Linked DNA regions of Daphnia pulex. The main gene of each other region encodes a partner of the protein of the gene in region 5 in a complex. Links are inferred from orthologs where the notes say so. Each region holds a gene or a part of one and is shown on either strand. Other genes may lie near its edges.

Evidence for each region. Proteins that work in one complex are often made in the same cells at the same time.
Region 1: cyclin-C-like (region 5) and mediator of RNA polymerase II transcription subunit 7-like share a complex: the UniProt entries of both Caenorhabditis elegans proteins name them as parts of the mediator complex. The link is inferred for Daphnia pulex from reciprocal best matches to the Caenorhabditis elegans genes cic-1 and let-49.
Region 2: cyclin-C-like (region 5) and mediator of RNA polymerase II transcription subunit 31-A-like share a complex: the UniProt entries of both Caenorhabditis elegans proteins name them as parts of the mediator complex. The link is inferred for Daphnia pulex from reciprocal best matches to the Caenorhabditis elegans genes cic-1 and mdt-31.
Region 3: cyclin-C-like (region 5) and mediator of RNA polymerase II transcription subunit 21-like share a complex: the UniProt entries of both Caenorhabditis elegans proteins name them as parts of the mediator complex. The link is inferred for Daphnia pulex from reciprocal best matches to the Caenorhabditis elegans genes cic-1 and mdt-21.
Region 4: cyclin-C-like (region 5) and cyclin-dependent kinase 8-like share a complex: the UniProt entries of both Caenorhabditis elegans proteins name them as parts of the mediator complex. The link is inferred for Daphnia pulex from reciprocal best matches to the Caenorhabditis elegans genes cic-1 and cdk-8.

Annotation. Positions count from the first base shown.
Region 1 is NC_060019.1:10,647,665-10,650,396, reverse strand, and holds mediator of RNA polymerase II transcription subunit 7-like, read right to left. Parts: upstream 1,420-2,732; 5' UTR 1,284-1,419; coding exon 1,098-1,283; intron 1,041-1,097; coding exon 570-1,040; 3' UTR 501-569; downstream 1-500. Other genes in the region: tyrosine-protein kinase Btk29A-like, read left to right, coding at 1,784-1,945, 2,035-2,302, 2,416-2,732. UniProt on the Caenorhabditis elegans protein: Component of the Mediator complex, a coactivator involved in the regulated transcription of nearly all RNA polymerase II-dependent genes.
Region 2 is NC_060024.1:13,245,235-13,248,008, forward strand, and holds mediator of RNA polymerase II transcription subunit 31-A-like, read right to left. Parts: upstream 1,326-2,774; 5' UTR 1,185-1,325; coding exon 1,172-1,184; intron 1,094-1,171; coding exon 1,013-1,093; intron 956-1,012; coding exon 859-955; intron 800-858; coding exon 589-799; 3' UTR 501-588; downstream 1-500. Other genes in the region: 2-oxo-4-hydroxy-4-carboxy-5-ureidoimidazoline decarboxylase-like, read left to right, coding at 1-88, 161-356. UniProt on the Caenorhabditis elegans protein: Component of the Mediator complex, a coactivator involved in the regulated transcription of nearly all RNA polymerase II-dependent genes.
Region 3 is NC_060027.1:1,946,137-1,948,845, reverse strand, and holds mediator of RNA polymerase II transcription subunit 21-like, read left to right. Parts: upstream 1-1,469; 5' UTR 1,470-1,562; coding exon 1,563-1,604; intron 1,605-1,680; coding exon 1,681-1,893; intron 1,894-1,970; coding exon 1,971-2,132; 3' UTR 2,133-2,209; downstream 2,210-2,709. Other genes in the region: nudix hydrolase 8-like, read left to right, coding at 160-328, 397-488, 552-762, 819-1,045, 1,114-1,293. UniProt on the Caenorhabditis elegans protein: Component of the Mediator complex, a coactivator involved in the regulated transcription of nearly all RNA polymerase II-dependent genes.
Region 4 is NC_060023.1:3,950,021-3,953,947, forward strand, and holds cyclin-dependent kinase 8-like, read right to left. Parts: upstream 2,801-3,927; 5' UTR 2,589-2,800; coding exon 2,428-2,588; intron 2,365-2,427; coding exon 2,178-2,364; intron 2,098-2,177; coding exon 1,957-2,097; intron 1,889-1,956; coding exon 1,699-1,888; intron 1,634-1,698; coding exon 1,519-1,633; intron 1,459-1,518; coding exon 1,360-1,458; intron 1,263-1,359; coding exon 1,190-1,262; intron 1,121-1,189; coding exon 1,023-1,120; intron 956-1,022; coding exon 871-955; intron 758-870; coding exon 284-757; 3' UTR 191-283; downstream 1-190. Other genes in the region: uncharacterized protein LOC124198281, read right to left, coding at 3,172-3,927. UniProt on the Caenorhabditis elegans protein: Component of the Mediator complex, a coactivator involved in regulated gene transcription of nearly all RNA polymerase II-dependent genes.
Region 5 is NC_060017.1:5,572,603-5,575,878, forward strand, and holds cyclin-C-like, read right to left. Parts: upstream 2,023-3,276; 5' UTR 1,895-2,022; coding exon 1,863-1,894; intron 1,805-1,862; coding exon 1,698-1,804; intron 1,630-1,697; coding exon 1,423-1,629; intron 1,363-1,422; coding exon 1,239-1,362; intron 1,170-1,238; coding exon 1,045-1,169; intron 971-1,044; coding exon 772-970; intron 668-771; coding exon 595-667; 3' UTR 501-594; downstream 1-500. Other genes in the region: folate receptor alpha-like, read left to right, coding at 16-231, 288-479; adenosine receptor A2b-like, read right to left, coding at 2,894-3,226. UniProt on the Caenorhabditis elegans protein: Component of the Mediator complex, a coactivator involved in regulated gene transcription of nearly all RNA polymerase II-dependent genes.

The sequences.
Region 1 (2,732 bases), on a different chromosome or scaffold from region 5:
AAAATTGTTCCATTAGGATATTGTTATAGACGGGAACTGGGCTGACTTTTCTTTCAGTCATTTTAAAATTTACTCTACTAACGAAAGATGATCACGTGTAAAAACTTGCTTTGGCTATAACAATTGAATGTTACCTGCAAGGCGAAATGATAAAACTAATAACTATCGATAGACCGGTTCAATATACAGTTAAATTAACAGCAATGCACTTACCAAAAGCAGAGAATTAACTTCAACGGTATTGTTGTTTCGAATCAACTTTCAAGAGGAAAAATTTGAAGGAAAAATATGTTACAGCGACTGCAGACGGACTAAAACGAATAAACAACGTTGCAATTTGATCTAGATGTTTAATTTAGGTGGATCATCAACATTTATCAACTAAAATACAAATAGAAAAATCTATTGCAATAATTATTTTAAAATAAAAATTCTTAAAAAAAAATAAATCACCGAGATTATGTTTGTCCCAAAACGATTAAAAATAAAACAGCAGACTATTTTACATCAGAAAGGCGAGTAGATCGAATGTATTTTCCACTTTGAATAAACATAAAATAACACAGAATTCACAAAGAATCAATCATTTGACACAGAACACGATCCTCCTCAGTACACCCATTCCCAGAAGTTTGGTTGCTTGCATTGCCTTCTGAAGGTTGAACCCGTTCAACATCTATAAGGAGCTTGATGTTGCCTTCAGTTGGTTCAGGAATTGTGTTGACAGCCTGCTGAACCAATTCCCAAGCTTTGTCAAAATGTCTTCTGAAACGCTCTGCAATTTCCAATCTTTGTCGTTTTTGTTGTTCTAGCATAACTCTAAGAGTTTCCCTTGCTTGATGAGGCCGAAATTCATTGACCAGATGATGCATGTGAATGAAAAGCAAAGTGAGGTCATCAATTTTTGTGGCTCTTGCTTCAGACTCTGGATTTCGTATGCAGATATCAACCAAGTCAAGGAAACTAGCAGTGATGGAGTGATTGAGCTTTTTCAGTTCTCTTCTGTGGTCATAGTTATTAGGGTACAGACGTCGTATATTCTGGAATAGTAAAACGAGTATTAAAGAAAGCTTTGATTAAGAAAAAACTTCTATCACCTGGCTTTCAAGAGGTCGGATCACAGCATCATCAGTATTATATGGATTACCAAACATGGAATAATTGTCTGTGATCGGAGGAGGTGGTCTCGGTGTTCTTCCTCTTTTAGCGTTTTCTTCATTAAAAAGACTGACATATTGCATCGGTGGCAAAGGTAATGAACTAACTTGAGCCGTTTCTGACATTTTTACTTTCCCACTGGAATGAAGCAATATAGTAATGTAAACAATATAGTTTGTTTTCAAGAATGAAGAATGTGACGTTTTCTAGTTCGTTTGCTTGGGGATTTCAGCAGACTATTTTTTGATCAATGTTCTCCTTTTTGTGGCTGTCCCGACACGCCATTCTTGAATGGAAACAAATTTGATTTAGAATGTTGTAAAAGAATTCAATTTTACATTAAATTGTCATTAAATCAATTAATCGTTGTTTATTTTTTTATTTTAAATGTATATTTCCTCGATTTTATCGCTAATTTTCGGAGGAAATTAAATCCGATAATAGTTGTCGGCAACTGCCGCTAGATCTGTCCGAGTTGCCAGTATTTAGAGAGGTTTGGAGAGCTTTTTCTTCGTCCTGCTTTCATTCTCTTCGTACCAGGGTCCAGGGAGAAAGACAATGAACGAAGTTATAACAGCTTTATCAAGTGGGGACTACTTTTTTGATTAGTGATCGTTTTGTAAGTATGTTTAAAAGCTCTGCCAAACCTCTTGCAGGTGAGGTAAAAAAGCAAGGCAATTTAGTGAAACGATCACAGAACAAGAAGAGGTTTAGTTTGATCAACTACAAGAGTCGATGGTTCGTCCTTACCACAAAGTTCCTCGCCTACTACGAGGGCGAATGCGAGGTAAGGTTTAGTTCTACTAAACACGCATGGACTGTGTTCGTGAATCCCTTCATCACTAATTCATCACAACCATCAATTCCAAACAACAGAATCGCAAAGGAAAAGAAAAGGGACGTGTCGACCTCCAAACAGTGAAAGTTGTGGAAGCTGTTGATCCAGCACCTGACACACCTGCCATCGGTCCATTGGCAAACCTTACAGGTTCCATTCCGAGTGATTTGAAGGGATCTCCTGCTTTTCAGATAGTGTACAATCCTTATGAGTGTAATGAAGGTTGTAGTGCAACAGACTTGACTCTTTGCATTTTCACTCCCACTCAGCAAGAAAGAGATATCTGGCTTTGGAATATCCGAGTTGGTGAGAACATTCTCTTTTGACGTCTCAAGTAGTTATGTGTGACAAATAGCAGTATTTATCTCACATGTTCATTTTATCTCATCTAATAATTTATTTTATTTTTCTCCTGATAGTGGTCAAAGACAGTGCTCCTCTTGTGAATGTGTATCACCCTGCCCTGTGGGGGAATAGAAGTTATCTTTGCTGTGGATCAACCCAAAGGTCCACGTCTAAGGCAATAAACGGTTGCCGTTCTGTAACTTGGGCTCCCAATACACTTCAACACATGGGCATCAATTTCAGTAACATCATCCACCATCCGTCTCCCTCACCAAGTCCTGTCGCTAAACCTGCGAATGGGGCTGAAGTCGAGGCGGCCATGGTCAAACCAACGGCGATTAAACCCACGACGGAAATTCATCCGGCAATCGTCGGGGATGTTGTTCCTGCA
Region 2 (2,774 bases), on a different chromosome or scaffold from region 5:
CACAGGAGAGTACTGCTGAACAGAAAGCTGCTGGTTTAGACACAATGACACCTGGTGAAAAACAACTGCTAGGAGAGACCAACATCAAGTATGACAAATTACTGTTCTATAACTATATAGTAACTAATGAGCTGTGTCTTTTGGGCTATTATTTTAATAGATACAGAGAAAAGTTTGGATTTCCTTTTGTTATCTGTGCCAGGCAGAACAAGAAGGAAGCAATCTTGAAAGGAATAGTTGAGAGATTGGAACACTCAGCTGCTGAAGAACTAAACATTGGGATTGAAGAAGTGAAGAAAATCTGCCTTTTGAGGTTGTTGAGTATAGTAACTGATGACAAATCTCGTAATATGTAGAGATTTTCCACTCGCTCCCATCAGTTGAGGTCAACAGCAGCTATTCCATTCTAAACATTCTCACTCAAAACAAGTCTTCCAAAACATATGTGTTGTTAACATTTTGTCTGGTAGTTTGCAAAAACTCAACACAAAATACAGCAATTTACAAAAATTTGTCTATATTGTCTTGCATATACTTGCCCAATATAAGAGAAGTTTAAAAAGTTCCTTAAACAATAATTATCATGAATCAAACACTTTTCTGGGGTGTTGGCTCATTCTGAACAGTCATCATGTGCTTCTCAGCTTGACTTTGAAGAAGACGAACCCTCTTTCTAGTGTAATGTTGCCAGTGAAGGATTTGTTGATCATCAATGAAGCGAGCACACTGGCCATTCACAACCTCCTTTCTGAAATGCTCATATTGAAGCAAGTCTAGGAAATGCAAACACATTGGGTACCTGGAAAATAATGAAATTGTAATTTCTAGTTAGGGTAAATTGCAAGTGAATTGGTGTACTTCAAATATTTTGCATAAGCAGGCTCCTTCCAATACTGTAAATACTTGATGTAGTTGACAAACGCCGGATCCTTAAAATAGCCACGTTGAGCAAGGACTAGTGTAAACAAGGCATAATGAAAGTGTTGATTTTAAAAATAGACCAAATACTTACAGTGCAGATAATTTGGATTTGCGAAACATTGCACAAATTCTAGTTCCACCTGAAATCGAATCCTTTGTTGTTCATCAGTTTCTACCCATCGGAAAAAGGAATAATAACATAGCAATGAGAATCTGTATTGAAAACGACTACACTTCACGATATATTTACCTCTGGTGCTCATTGCGAAGCAAACAACGAAATAACGTAGTTTGCTTCAACAGTTTTGGAAATCTAGAAACGAGGCAACCGGACAGAATGGAAACGTCAGACAACAACTTGAAATGGAAATTGGAAAGCGTCAACTTTTGCAATTTGTCGTCTGCTTGATCAATTGATGCCATCTAGAAAGAAATCGAGAAAATATTAAAAATTGAATTAACTTAAAAAAATTTTTACAAAATAAAAAAAAAATTAAAACGATTTCAAATTTCATGCCCACAATTTATTAATGTGTGTGGTGGCCTTATCACACAGTTTGATTTCCGAATTTGGATAACATTTTGCGGTTGCGCTGCGCCGTAGGACCCTAATAAACCATGAAGCCGCAGCTGATAGGCTAGACGGCTAGACTATACTAACTTCAGTTTGCACCGTGAGTTATTTTATTTTCCTGTAGGAGGTAAGATCAATAGAAGAATTTAGATGGAATATGGAGTTGAAAAACAAAAATACCAAAATAAAAAAGTCAAATCAGAAAAATTATGAATTCAGCAGGAAAGGCGAACGGAAAAATAAAAAGATGGAATATATTACCGTGTGATTTCCAGTTGTTTCACATATGCGACATTCTACGCCTCCGTTACTATTTTATCGTCCTTTTCCAGAACGGAAATATTTGAAAGTAGGCTAATCAAAAATATTCAACCCAAACGAAATCTGTTGAAATTTTTCTTTGACTTTTGTTCTTATTTTCGCCACTTTTGATCGGATATCCGGTGCGGGGGCGATAGCATTCTACCATGTATAGGTCAGAAATATCATCTTAAAGTGTCATATCTACTCCGTGTATACGTGACATCCGGATAATGCACGCGGCCGTGAGGGCGGTGTATCATGTCTGAGTGCATATTCACGTATTGTACATGTGGTAGGTCTATACTACGTAGCCATCCTCCTGCGCACTCGGCGGATGTATAATGGTTGGTTCTCACCTACGGCCCCGAGTTTTCCGGTAGACCATGCGACAATCAAGAGGATGAACGTATCAATCTTAATTCCCTGGTATTATCTAATAATCGTGCTTGAAATTCCACTCTTCTATGATTATAAGTTCAATCAGCAAAGTGACGTGATTGGAGTAACAAATAGATTCAACGCGGATTTCTGCCGTCGGTCCGGGATAAATGATGGAGTAATATTCCATCATTGATAGCACAGAATTCAGTAGAGCGTAGGTAGCAACAGGTGGCGTGACATGACAAAAATGATCCAGCTGTTGCTGAGGCAGTGTGGGCTTTTATCAATCACCTGCCGCTTATTGCCTGACCCATATCAGCCTTTTTTTTTTTTACCTGAGGAGTTTCAAATTTTCGTGGAAAAGATTCTCATTACATTTCCCCGCCATATTAATAACGCTTTTGCCACTAGGTAGACGAACCGGTGGGCGGTGGCACGTGCGACGGACAATGCCCAAAAACTGACTCCGCCTCGTCTCTATACTTTCGGCAACTGTTGTGATGTTAACCTGCCGTTGAAGGCAATTACAGCAAGCCCCCGATTCCATTTGCGTCACGTCGCCGAGTATATAGCAGTCGACGCAGAGAGGGGGGGG
Region 3 (2,709 bases), on a different chromosome or scaffold from region 5:
TGTGTGGCAACTCGGATTCACGGGACATAAAAGTGCAGACGATGTCAACATAAATATTATACGATGTCGTTGGACGATATCTCCTGCCTCTAGAATAAAAAGGACTCTGTGTATAGATGAAGAGATAGGCCGTGATGACATATTTATTGAACGGGTGTTATGAATGCTACTGCTGCTCGTCATTTATTGAGCAGCGCTCTGGCCAAGACGAAATCAATTGTTGTTAAAATGTCGACATTCCAAGGTGCCAAGGATCTTTTCGGCGGAATCATTGTGCGCTCGAGCGAAGAGCCACAAGAAAGGAACCGAATGGAGCAGCTTCTTAAAGGTGCAAATTTATTTTTATATATTAACACATCATTTGTTTTATGTAATAGTTGTTTTGTTTGTTTTTAGAATCTCTGCAAGTCTGGTCCACCACTGGAGTTCGTGGAGTCTGGTTTGAAGTGGAACCAACCTGTGCTGAATGGATTCCAGTACTAATTCAGGTAGTCAAAGAAGAATTATTGCTAGTCAAAACTGCACGAGCATTACCTTATTCATTTTCTTAGAATGGCTTTTCTTTCCATCACGCAAACCCAGAGTTGAGTGTGTTGCTCAAATGGTTGCCTTCTGACGAACCTTGTCAAGTGCCTAGTTATGCACACACAATGGTAGGCGCTGGAGCCATGGTTGTCAATGATAAGAATGAGATTCTTGTGGTTCAGGAAAGGTATTACAAAAGACCACACTGGAAACTCCCTGGTGGTTATGTAGATCCAGGTATGTATATTTAGACATCATTAACATTCAATCATTACCAATTATTAAATTTACAGGGGAAAGTATTGCTACTGCTGTCAAGAGGGAGGTGTTTGAGGAGACTGGTATTAAGACAGAGTTCGTTTCACTCGTTGCCGTGCGGCATTTGCAATCAAGAGAGAAGAATCCCAGTGCAAGGTTCGGCTGTTCAGACATTTATTTCGTGACTTATCTCAGACCTGTTGAAGGTAGCACAGAAATCAAAATGTGTCCTCGTGAGCTCAGCGACGCTTGTTGGATGCCGGTTAGTTTTCTAAATGTCAACATTTTCAATTATTCCTAGTCTGTGTAATTGAATTTTAAATATTTTAGCTGAAAGAATATGCGACTCATCCGCTTGCCTTCGAAGTTGGGAAAATCTTTGCTACACAGTTAATGGCGATTGCCGATGGCGATAATCCCGCAATCAACTGCCTGGAATCTATCCATCAATTGACTAATAGCAATAGCCAAATTTACTTAGTTGAAGGAAAACAAAATTTTAAACTGTAATGTGTTCAGGATCACGTTCTAGTATTTTGTTTTAGTGCCTGTTACGGGAATCAGATAACGCATTATATTTAGCTTGAATTGTTGTTTTAACAAATTATATATGCAGATCGGTAAATTACTGCCCAGTTCCTGTAATCATCAGAATGTAGAATTAATTTCACAATACAGGTTGTGAATGTTTAAATTTGGCATTGAAGTTATCAGATTCATCGCTAGGTGGCGTAATAGCCGGCACATCTGCTTTTCTCATCTCTGCATTTCCATCAACAATGGCTGATCGTTTGACACAACTCCAAGACGCTATAAATGCGGTATTTATAACTGATTGCATTGACGAAATTGCCAAGTGTATCGTCTCAAATTCGTGGTTTAATTCTCTGTTTCTAGCAAGCTGATAATTTCTGCAATGCCATCGGTATTTTGCAACAAACCGCCCCACCGGCTACATTCCCAGGTTTCGATCGAGCAGGCAATCGAACACCTCAACAACAACAAGAAGATCACGCTTCTCTTTTTGCCACATTGATTGCCCGCTGCGCCAAAGATATTGACGTCCTAATCGATTCACTACCCAGTGAAGATTCTACCTCCGAACTGCAGGTATAAACTTGGTTCTATTAGTATTCTGTCGGTGCAATGTTCTACGAAGTTGACTAAAATTAATTCAATCGCTGCAGATTGCAAGTCTCAGAAGGCTGGAGAATGAAAATGAAAGTGCCGCTGCACGATTGAGGGAGGTTGTCAGCGAAGGAGAGCTGATGCTCGAGAAAATTCAGAATGCACTTCACGACATTGCACAGACCCAACTGGCCATGCAGAGCACAGGTCCAAATTCCTAAATCCAACCATTATTTGCTCTAGTTCCCTATTTTTGATATTTAAAAGAAGAAAATGAAACAAACAATTTGCTCTGCAAGAATTTCGTTTCATTTCTGGTTTCCGCCACAACATCAATTTTAAATCTGTTCTTTTCAAAATCATATTGAGTGAACATTCTTGTCACACACAGGTGAGGCAAGTCATTTCAGGAAGGAAGGAAGATGGGGTGACAGATTGTAAAAGAAACTGTTTGAAAAGGATTCCAACCTTTTATATATCCACTTCTTTTTTTGTCTTCCTTTAGAAAACCCAAAATGGAAAGAAGGGGGGAGAGAAGTTGCTGTTCACTCGTAAGAAGAGAAAGAACACGCGGTCCGTTTGTTTAGGAATGGCGTGCAACAAAAAAAAAGAGGAGGGGGGAGCGGGAGGAGGAGAAAAAAAAAACGATAGAATGTTGTTTAGCTTTTTATTTTTTAAAAAAGAAGAAGTAGAAAAAATTCTCCCGTGTGTATAAATATAGTGCTGCCATCTTCTCCGACCCCTTTCGGCGATCTCCGGTCGTTCGGTAAGAAGGGGGAAAAATAAAGGGGGTTGGAA
Region 4 (3,927 bases), on a different chromosome or scaffold from region 5:
TTTTTTGCTCTACCCAAGTACCCATACACAGCCTCCACTTGTTTTCGCTATTTGGCAGTTACTCCCTTCGTCAAACATGATCATAGTTTACAGCAATTTTCCTTTGATTCCTGGAATCAAAACACGATCCATCGTGTATCTTTTATTCTATGTACCTTTTTCATTTCCAGCGGTAATGCATTATTAAACGTTTTAGTATGAAAATGTACGCATTTTATTTTATTTTACGAATTCAAAATGAAGACAAAATACAATAAGTTGCTAGTAATAGATGAAAAGAGCATCAGAATCTTTGATTAAATGAGTTGTTTTGCTGAGGATGCGACTGTTGTTGAGGATGGCCAGGATGATTGGAATAGTTCGGATGCATACCTCCTTGCATGTTGCCTTGTTGTGACGGATGCTGAGGGTGATGGCCATGGCCATGATTAGAATTACCCGATTGTGAAGCATGTTGCTGTTGCTGTTGTTGCTGCTGCTGCTGCTGTTGTTGTTGTTGCTGCTGCTGTTGTTGCTGTTGTTGTTGCTGCTGCTGCTGTTGTTGTTGTTGCTGTGCAGAAGGATGCTGCTGTACATGGGGTTGCTGTCCAACATGTTGACCATGGAAATCTGGTGGGCCTCCTGACATGTTGGATCCACCAACATTGTTTCCAGGATGTGGGGGAGCCAACCGTACTCGTTTTGCATTAGGACCATGAGACTGGTCATTGGGGGCATTCGCTGCAGTATTCTGACCCTGTGGATTCTTAGCAATCATCTGAATTCAAAAGTGTACCCAAATGCCAAATAAAACGCAAATGAAAGAAAACCAAAACAAGGGAGACGAAAAAGACTAGATAAAATAAAATCAAAAGAACAATTTATTATTACCTTGCTGCTATCAGATTTGTCATCTTGCTCTTCGTCACTCAAAAATTCTCGCTTCGGGTACGGAATAGGACAACCAGCAAATACGCTAATGAAACACAAATCTGATCAAAACTGATTCTTATATTACATTATGATTCTTATTTTAAGTTTACTCTGAAGTAGGTAAAGGATCTTCCTGAAAGTAAGGATCAGCCATGGCAGATTCTGAGGTGAATCTTTTAGTAGGATCCATCATTAAAAGTTTGGAAAGCTTGAAGCAAATTAATCAGTCAAAAAAGGAGAGAAAAAAACGCAACTTTTAATTTTAAATATCGATTACCAAATGAAAAGCTTTAGTATCGGCTTTAATTTTATACCGGTCCATATACTTCATCAAGGAACATGTTTGATAGCTAAAAGAAAAAAATAAAAAAAAAATAAACAAAAGATGCATTTTGAACATGGAGTTAATATTAAGAAGTAAACAAACAAATGGAAATAAACACTTACTTGTTACGTTTAAAATCCTTGAGAAGTGTAGGATGTTCAGGCATTTTTTTAATATCTTCCCAGTCCTTGTCATGTGGAAATCCCATTACGTTGAAAATTCTACAAGGAAATGTAATAAATAATTCATTTCTGACACTCACGAAGAGCAAATTTTCATACCGATCGAGTTGATCGTGATGATAGGGATTGGAAGTTTTAATGTCTTCTTGACGACAATGAAAAATTGGTTCTGATGTTAGTAGTTCAGCAAAAATACATCCAATAGCCCAAATATCTAAAATAAATTGTAAAGCAATGATATAGAATTGTGAAACACCACACAAACTACTAATGTTTTACCAATAGCTTTTGTGTAGTGCCTAGCTCCTAAAAGCAGTTCTGGTGCTCGATACCAGAAAGTCACAACTACAGGGTCCAAATCAGCCAAAGGTTTCAGTGGTGAATTAAACAAACGAGCAAAACCCATGTCGGCAATTTTAACTCTTCCCCTTTCAATTCCTTCTCCCATGACTAAGATGTTGGCTGGTTTCTAAGGAAAAGAAAGCAAAAATCTATTTGTTGATGAAAATATTAACAAAAGCAGATAATTCTCAATACCAAATCACGATGAAGGATCCAGTTAGAATGCAAGTAGTGAATCCCATCCAAGATTTGATATAGCAAAGATTTTACCATGGCTTTAGGAGTGTAAACTGCCTTTTTATTTGCTTTGGCTGCTCTGTGGAATTTAATGATGTGCTAAATTTTGGTTTGTGACAAATATAATAAGTTAAAAGATCATGAACCAAAACAACTTTAGAAGGAAGATTTTAACAAACCCATAAGTCATGTTCTGCATAATCAAAAAGAAGCCAAACTTTGCGATCAGTATGGGAAAGAAATACTCGTTGAAGATTGATCACATTAGGATGCTTTAACTCCCTGAGCAAGGCTATTTCACGACAAGCTGACATGGAAAGACCAGTGCCTTCAATTTGCTTTAATGCATATTCCTTTTGGTCAGCACTATAAAATAAAACATAATTATATTGAACTTACACAATTTCTCGTGCTTAGAGAATATCAAACCTAATTAGTTTATTAATATCCGAAGTGGCGAATGTTTCCTTTCTTTTCGCTTTATACACATGACCGTAAGTACCACGACCAATCTTCCTTCCTTCATATTCAAACAGATCTTCTACTTTGGTACGTTCTACGCTCGTTCGAACTTTAAAATCGTAATCCATGCTAGTTATTGCATGAATGCAAATCAATTTGTGTAATGTTGATATTTTTTCTTGTTGACGATTTTTGGTTTGTTATACTGTAATGACGTTTGCCAGATGGAGGAAATGAAGAGCAGACGGAAAAAACTAAAAATTCAAATAAAAGGCAGAGCAATAGATACCTGGTCGGTTCTCGGCCGTGTTGGCTTCCCTATCCCGGTTTCAGGGTAACCGTGGTCCGATTTGGAAAAATTGATGAGCGCCTCTAGTGAGTGTGTCAGGTACTACGTGAAGCCAGCCAATCAGGAAGGGTCTATGAAAAACTCATTGACCAATCACAGCTTACTTTTCTACAAGAAGTGAACAATAATAAAAAGGTAGAAGTATCCAACTGTCAAACCTCTAAGTCATATATAAGTGTCCTATTTTTCTAAGTGTTCTCACATTCTTACATTTTATTGTTTGTTTGTGTAAAAAAAATATGTAATGACATGGTATGTTTAGTTTTCAGTTACTTTGAATTTTATTCTAGTGTAGTTACAAATGGGTATTTATTAAAACGAATCATTTTCTTGCATACAATGTTTCATAAATACAGAGGTACCTACGCAAGTTTTGCTAATTTTTTGTTTTTTTTTACATTTGCTGAAGCTTCAGCTAACAAAAGATTTTTTAGTCTTTTTGATTCAAAATAATATCTAACTCCCACATATTCTCTTATGAGGTAAGGTAACTTTTCATCTCGATGAATGTCACAAAAAATGGGAACCAAATGACAAGTTGAAATTTTCTCCATGCACTCTTGAAATGACTCCTCTTCATACATTTGGCCAATTGGCTCAAAATGACCCTCAATTACCTTTTCTATCACTCTGAATGTTTGGAACATATTTACAGTGACAAAGATCAAAAACCCCTTATTGCGCATTCGAGTATAATGATCTGCAGTGAAGTCTTCTGGCAACTCCAGTTCCTCGCAGCGAAGGGATTTGTAACAGTCAGGACATTTTGACATACTCTTCCTTGTGTGAATCATATAACCACACAAATCATAAATCAAAATATCTTTGACGAAATTAGAATTCGCTGGTTCGTTAATTTTATCAACAAACCGAATTGTTATTTCCTTCAGTAGTTTATCTTCTAATACTGATCTCAGGTCGGAAGCTCGAATGTCACTTTCCTTGGCTTGACGTTTAAGGCATTTTGACATTGTTACTAGGATGTTCATCTGCTCAACATTGTCAACGTTTGCTCCTTGTATAATCGTGGATAATCTTGCTCCAAGAGACACATAGCGAATGATTTGTTGAAAAGAAGTCACCGTGGGATGAGCATCAACACCACGTACAATGCCGAA
Region 5 (3,276 bases):
TTCTTTTTTATCTAGGTAAACATGAAAATGCGCAGAGAAAGATTCTTGGACGTGCCTCTTTGCGCCACTGATTGTGATGATTGGTTCAATGCTTGCAAGGATGATTACACATGTACAGACAATTGGACATTAAACTTCAAATGGATTAATGGGACCAATCACTGCCGACCTGAATCCGAATGTCGCACCTTTTCCGATATCTTTCAAAACTCATCTAATTTTTGTGAAAGGGTAAACAGTATTAACATTCTCCCTAGAATTTTGATTACATTTTTATTTTCTAAAAGGTTTGGGATCATTCATGGAAGTATACCAATAATTCAGAGCCCTGCATGCGTATTTGGTTTGACGGTGATCAAGGCAATCCTAACGAAAATATTGCACGATGGAAAATCCAACAAAGTAACAGCGCGGAAACGTTTTCAACGAAGCCGCTTACATACGTACTCCCCGCCTTGATGTTGTTTCTAAACTACTAGAATAGAGAAATTGCGTTCTCATTTTCATTGTAAAAGAAAGCATGTATTAAATAGTTGATCATAACACAGTTTTTTTTGTGTTTTTCAGTTTATAAAATGAGAATGATAATGATAATCAATTTGTCACACCCATGGACTGGTCATTTGTGCCCTGTATTCCATCCTGTGATTGTGCTGACGAGGGAGGCCTACATAGTTATCACAGTGTATTAAACAATTTTAAAATTTTATTCTTTGCAATGTGATCAAATAAGAAAGAATTGGGATCTAAATAGGAAATTGAATATCCTACCGACTTGGCTGCGTTTTGGGTTTAGGCATTTTGGCCAACAAACCCTGAATTTCTTTTTTCTCGTCGTAGGTCTTGTAGAGATCGTACAGAGCCAGAATTTGACGCGTTATTTCTTGAATTTTATCCGTATCGACGGCAATTTCCGCAAACCAATTTTTCCCGTCTTTCTGAAGCACAACACAAGCCATTTGCATGGCAGCTAATACAGAAGAAAAGAAAGAAATAAATGAAGTAGAGTTCACATGATAAAAGACAAAAATAATTCAAGCTAACCCAATGCAATTTGGTAAGGGGGGTACAGAAGAGATATATCAGTTCTTAGGCTATCATTGACTATTTTCCATGACAATCCAAGAAGATCTTCTTGCCCAATGTCTTGAACAAATTGGACAAGTGGTCTGTGTGGAAATTTCAAATGAAAACATTATTACATTATGCTTTAAATTTTCTCAGAAACAGTTGATCACCTGTAAGGTTGGTAAACAACTAGACAGCAATCCATGTTTTCCAATAAATAAAATTCACACTCAAGGATGTGTTGTGCTCTGTAGGGAAACTCTTGAGGATAGGCATAGTTGAACTTTGACTTGACTGTTTAAGAAGTTGATTGAATCACAATAACAAATTTTGTCTTATGAAAAGATCACATACCAACTGATTGACATGTTGTGATTAATCTGTTGTTCGAAATTACACCAAACTCTTCGACTTTTGAAGCCAACAGAATGCATGTGGGGGCAAGTAGCAGTGGATCAATGCATTTCAAGGAATTCCTGGCATAAAACCGCTTGAAGTAAACTGTGGCAGTCGCTATGACTTGTTGTTTGAGTTTCAAATGCTCACCAAGAACCTGGATGACTAACATGAGAAAGACACTTTTATTATTCAACATTTAGGAGATGATTCCATAGTTAATATAAACTTACAGTTACTAAAGAAGATGAAGAGTTTTTGATAGTCTTCCTCCGTGACGATGGCGAAATCCCCTTGGCGTTCTCGAACCAAATCAGAAGGGTCTAGTAGCCACTGCTGACTAATAATAAAGTGAGTAATTAAATGTGAATCAAAACGTTAGACAAATAAAAACTAACCAATGCGAGCTTTGCCAGAAATTCCCAGCCATACTCTGCGGCCGAGGTTTAACTTGTTTACTGTGTGTAAACGATGCTCGACACTGTTAGGTTAGACGACGTAAGGCGGCGCTTATTAAAATGTCGCCGTGCCCGGATTTTCTAACATGGAAGCCTTTTCGCACCCGAGCACGCCAATAAACGAAAGAAAAGAAAACATCGTGATTTACTGATTTAGTGATTTGTGAACGATCGTATTCGTGATTTTGTTCTGTTTTTTTTAAAGTTTTATTAGCGTTCAACAAAACAAAACATTGCATTCCATTTGGTTTTAATTAATTAATTGTAAACTTATGACTTACTGTATGACTGTTTTTGAGTGATTAGGATGATGACGCAATGAGTTACTTTGGTTCGACGTAAATAAACATGATTTAATATTTTTGAGACTCATTACACAGCGTATTTGTTTACATATTATTGTCGCCTAACGAAACGTTCATAACACAATGTTTGTTACATTTTACAAAGTTACAAACGATCCATGAATAATTGAGTATGTAAATTTGGCTACTAAACACGAAGGAATTTGACCACTTGTCCGTTTTACAACAACGAGAATCATGAGTACATCAGGCCGAAAAGAAATGCGTTGCAAAAAAATAAGAAAATACAAAATGCGGAATGGACCATTGAGTAAGAAAACAGAGATGATACAAAATATGTGTGGGCTATATGACGATATGGACAGTCAGAGAGAGTTTGAATCCCGTGGCATCGGCACGAACGAAAAATACAATCAACATTCAATGGAGCCTATACACAAGACATGAAAATATTTTAATATCATCAACACAACCGATGGGGGGAAAAAATCATGTGACATATCTCCCGCATCAGTCAACAGCAACGATGGACAGGCCAAGAAGCAGAGGCATCCTGCATGAATAAAGAGTGTAGCCCCCGTGAGAATTGACTTGAACGATTCTTGGCATGCGTCCGGCGTAACGTGAAAAAACAAAAACTATTTCAAAACGTGCCGTCGTGAATTTTTACAAGTCCGTGACTTGTTGCTGATCCGGCGGGATCGTTCGTTGTAGGTAGTCGTCGTTGGAGAGGTCGGTGGAGTTGATTTGCCACTCGATAGGTGGCAGCTCCAGCTGATAGATTTTACTGAGTCGCTGTCGATCGTGCGGCTGGATGGATCCAGCTCTCGATCCGATTCCGGTGGCCATTTCCACCGAGCTGAGCGAGCGCTCCATCGCCCACTTGGAGCAGGGGACGTAGCGGAGCAAACGGGCGAAAGCCAGTCGGAAATCGCGGTTCTTCCATCCGTAAATAAATGGATTCAGGGCTGATTTCCCGAAATACAAAATCATGACAACCTGCCGAAAACAAACGGCAACATTGAGGAAAAGAGTTGCGTGTCGGTTAC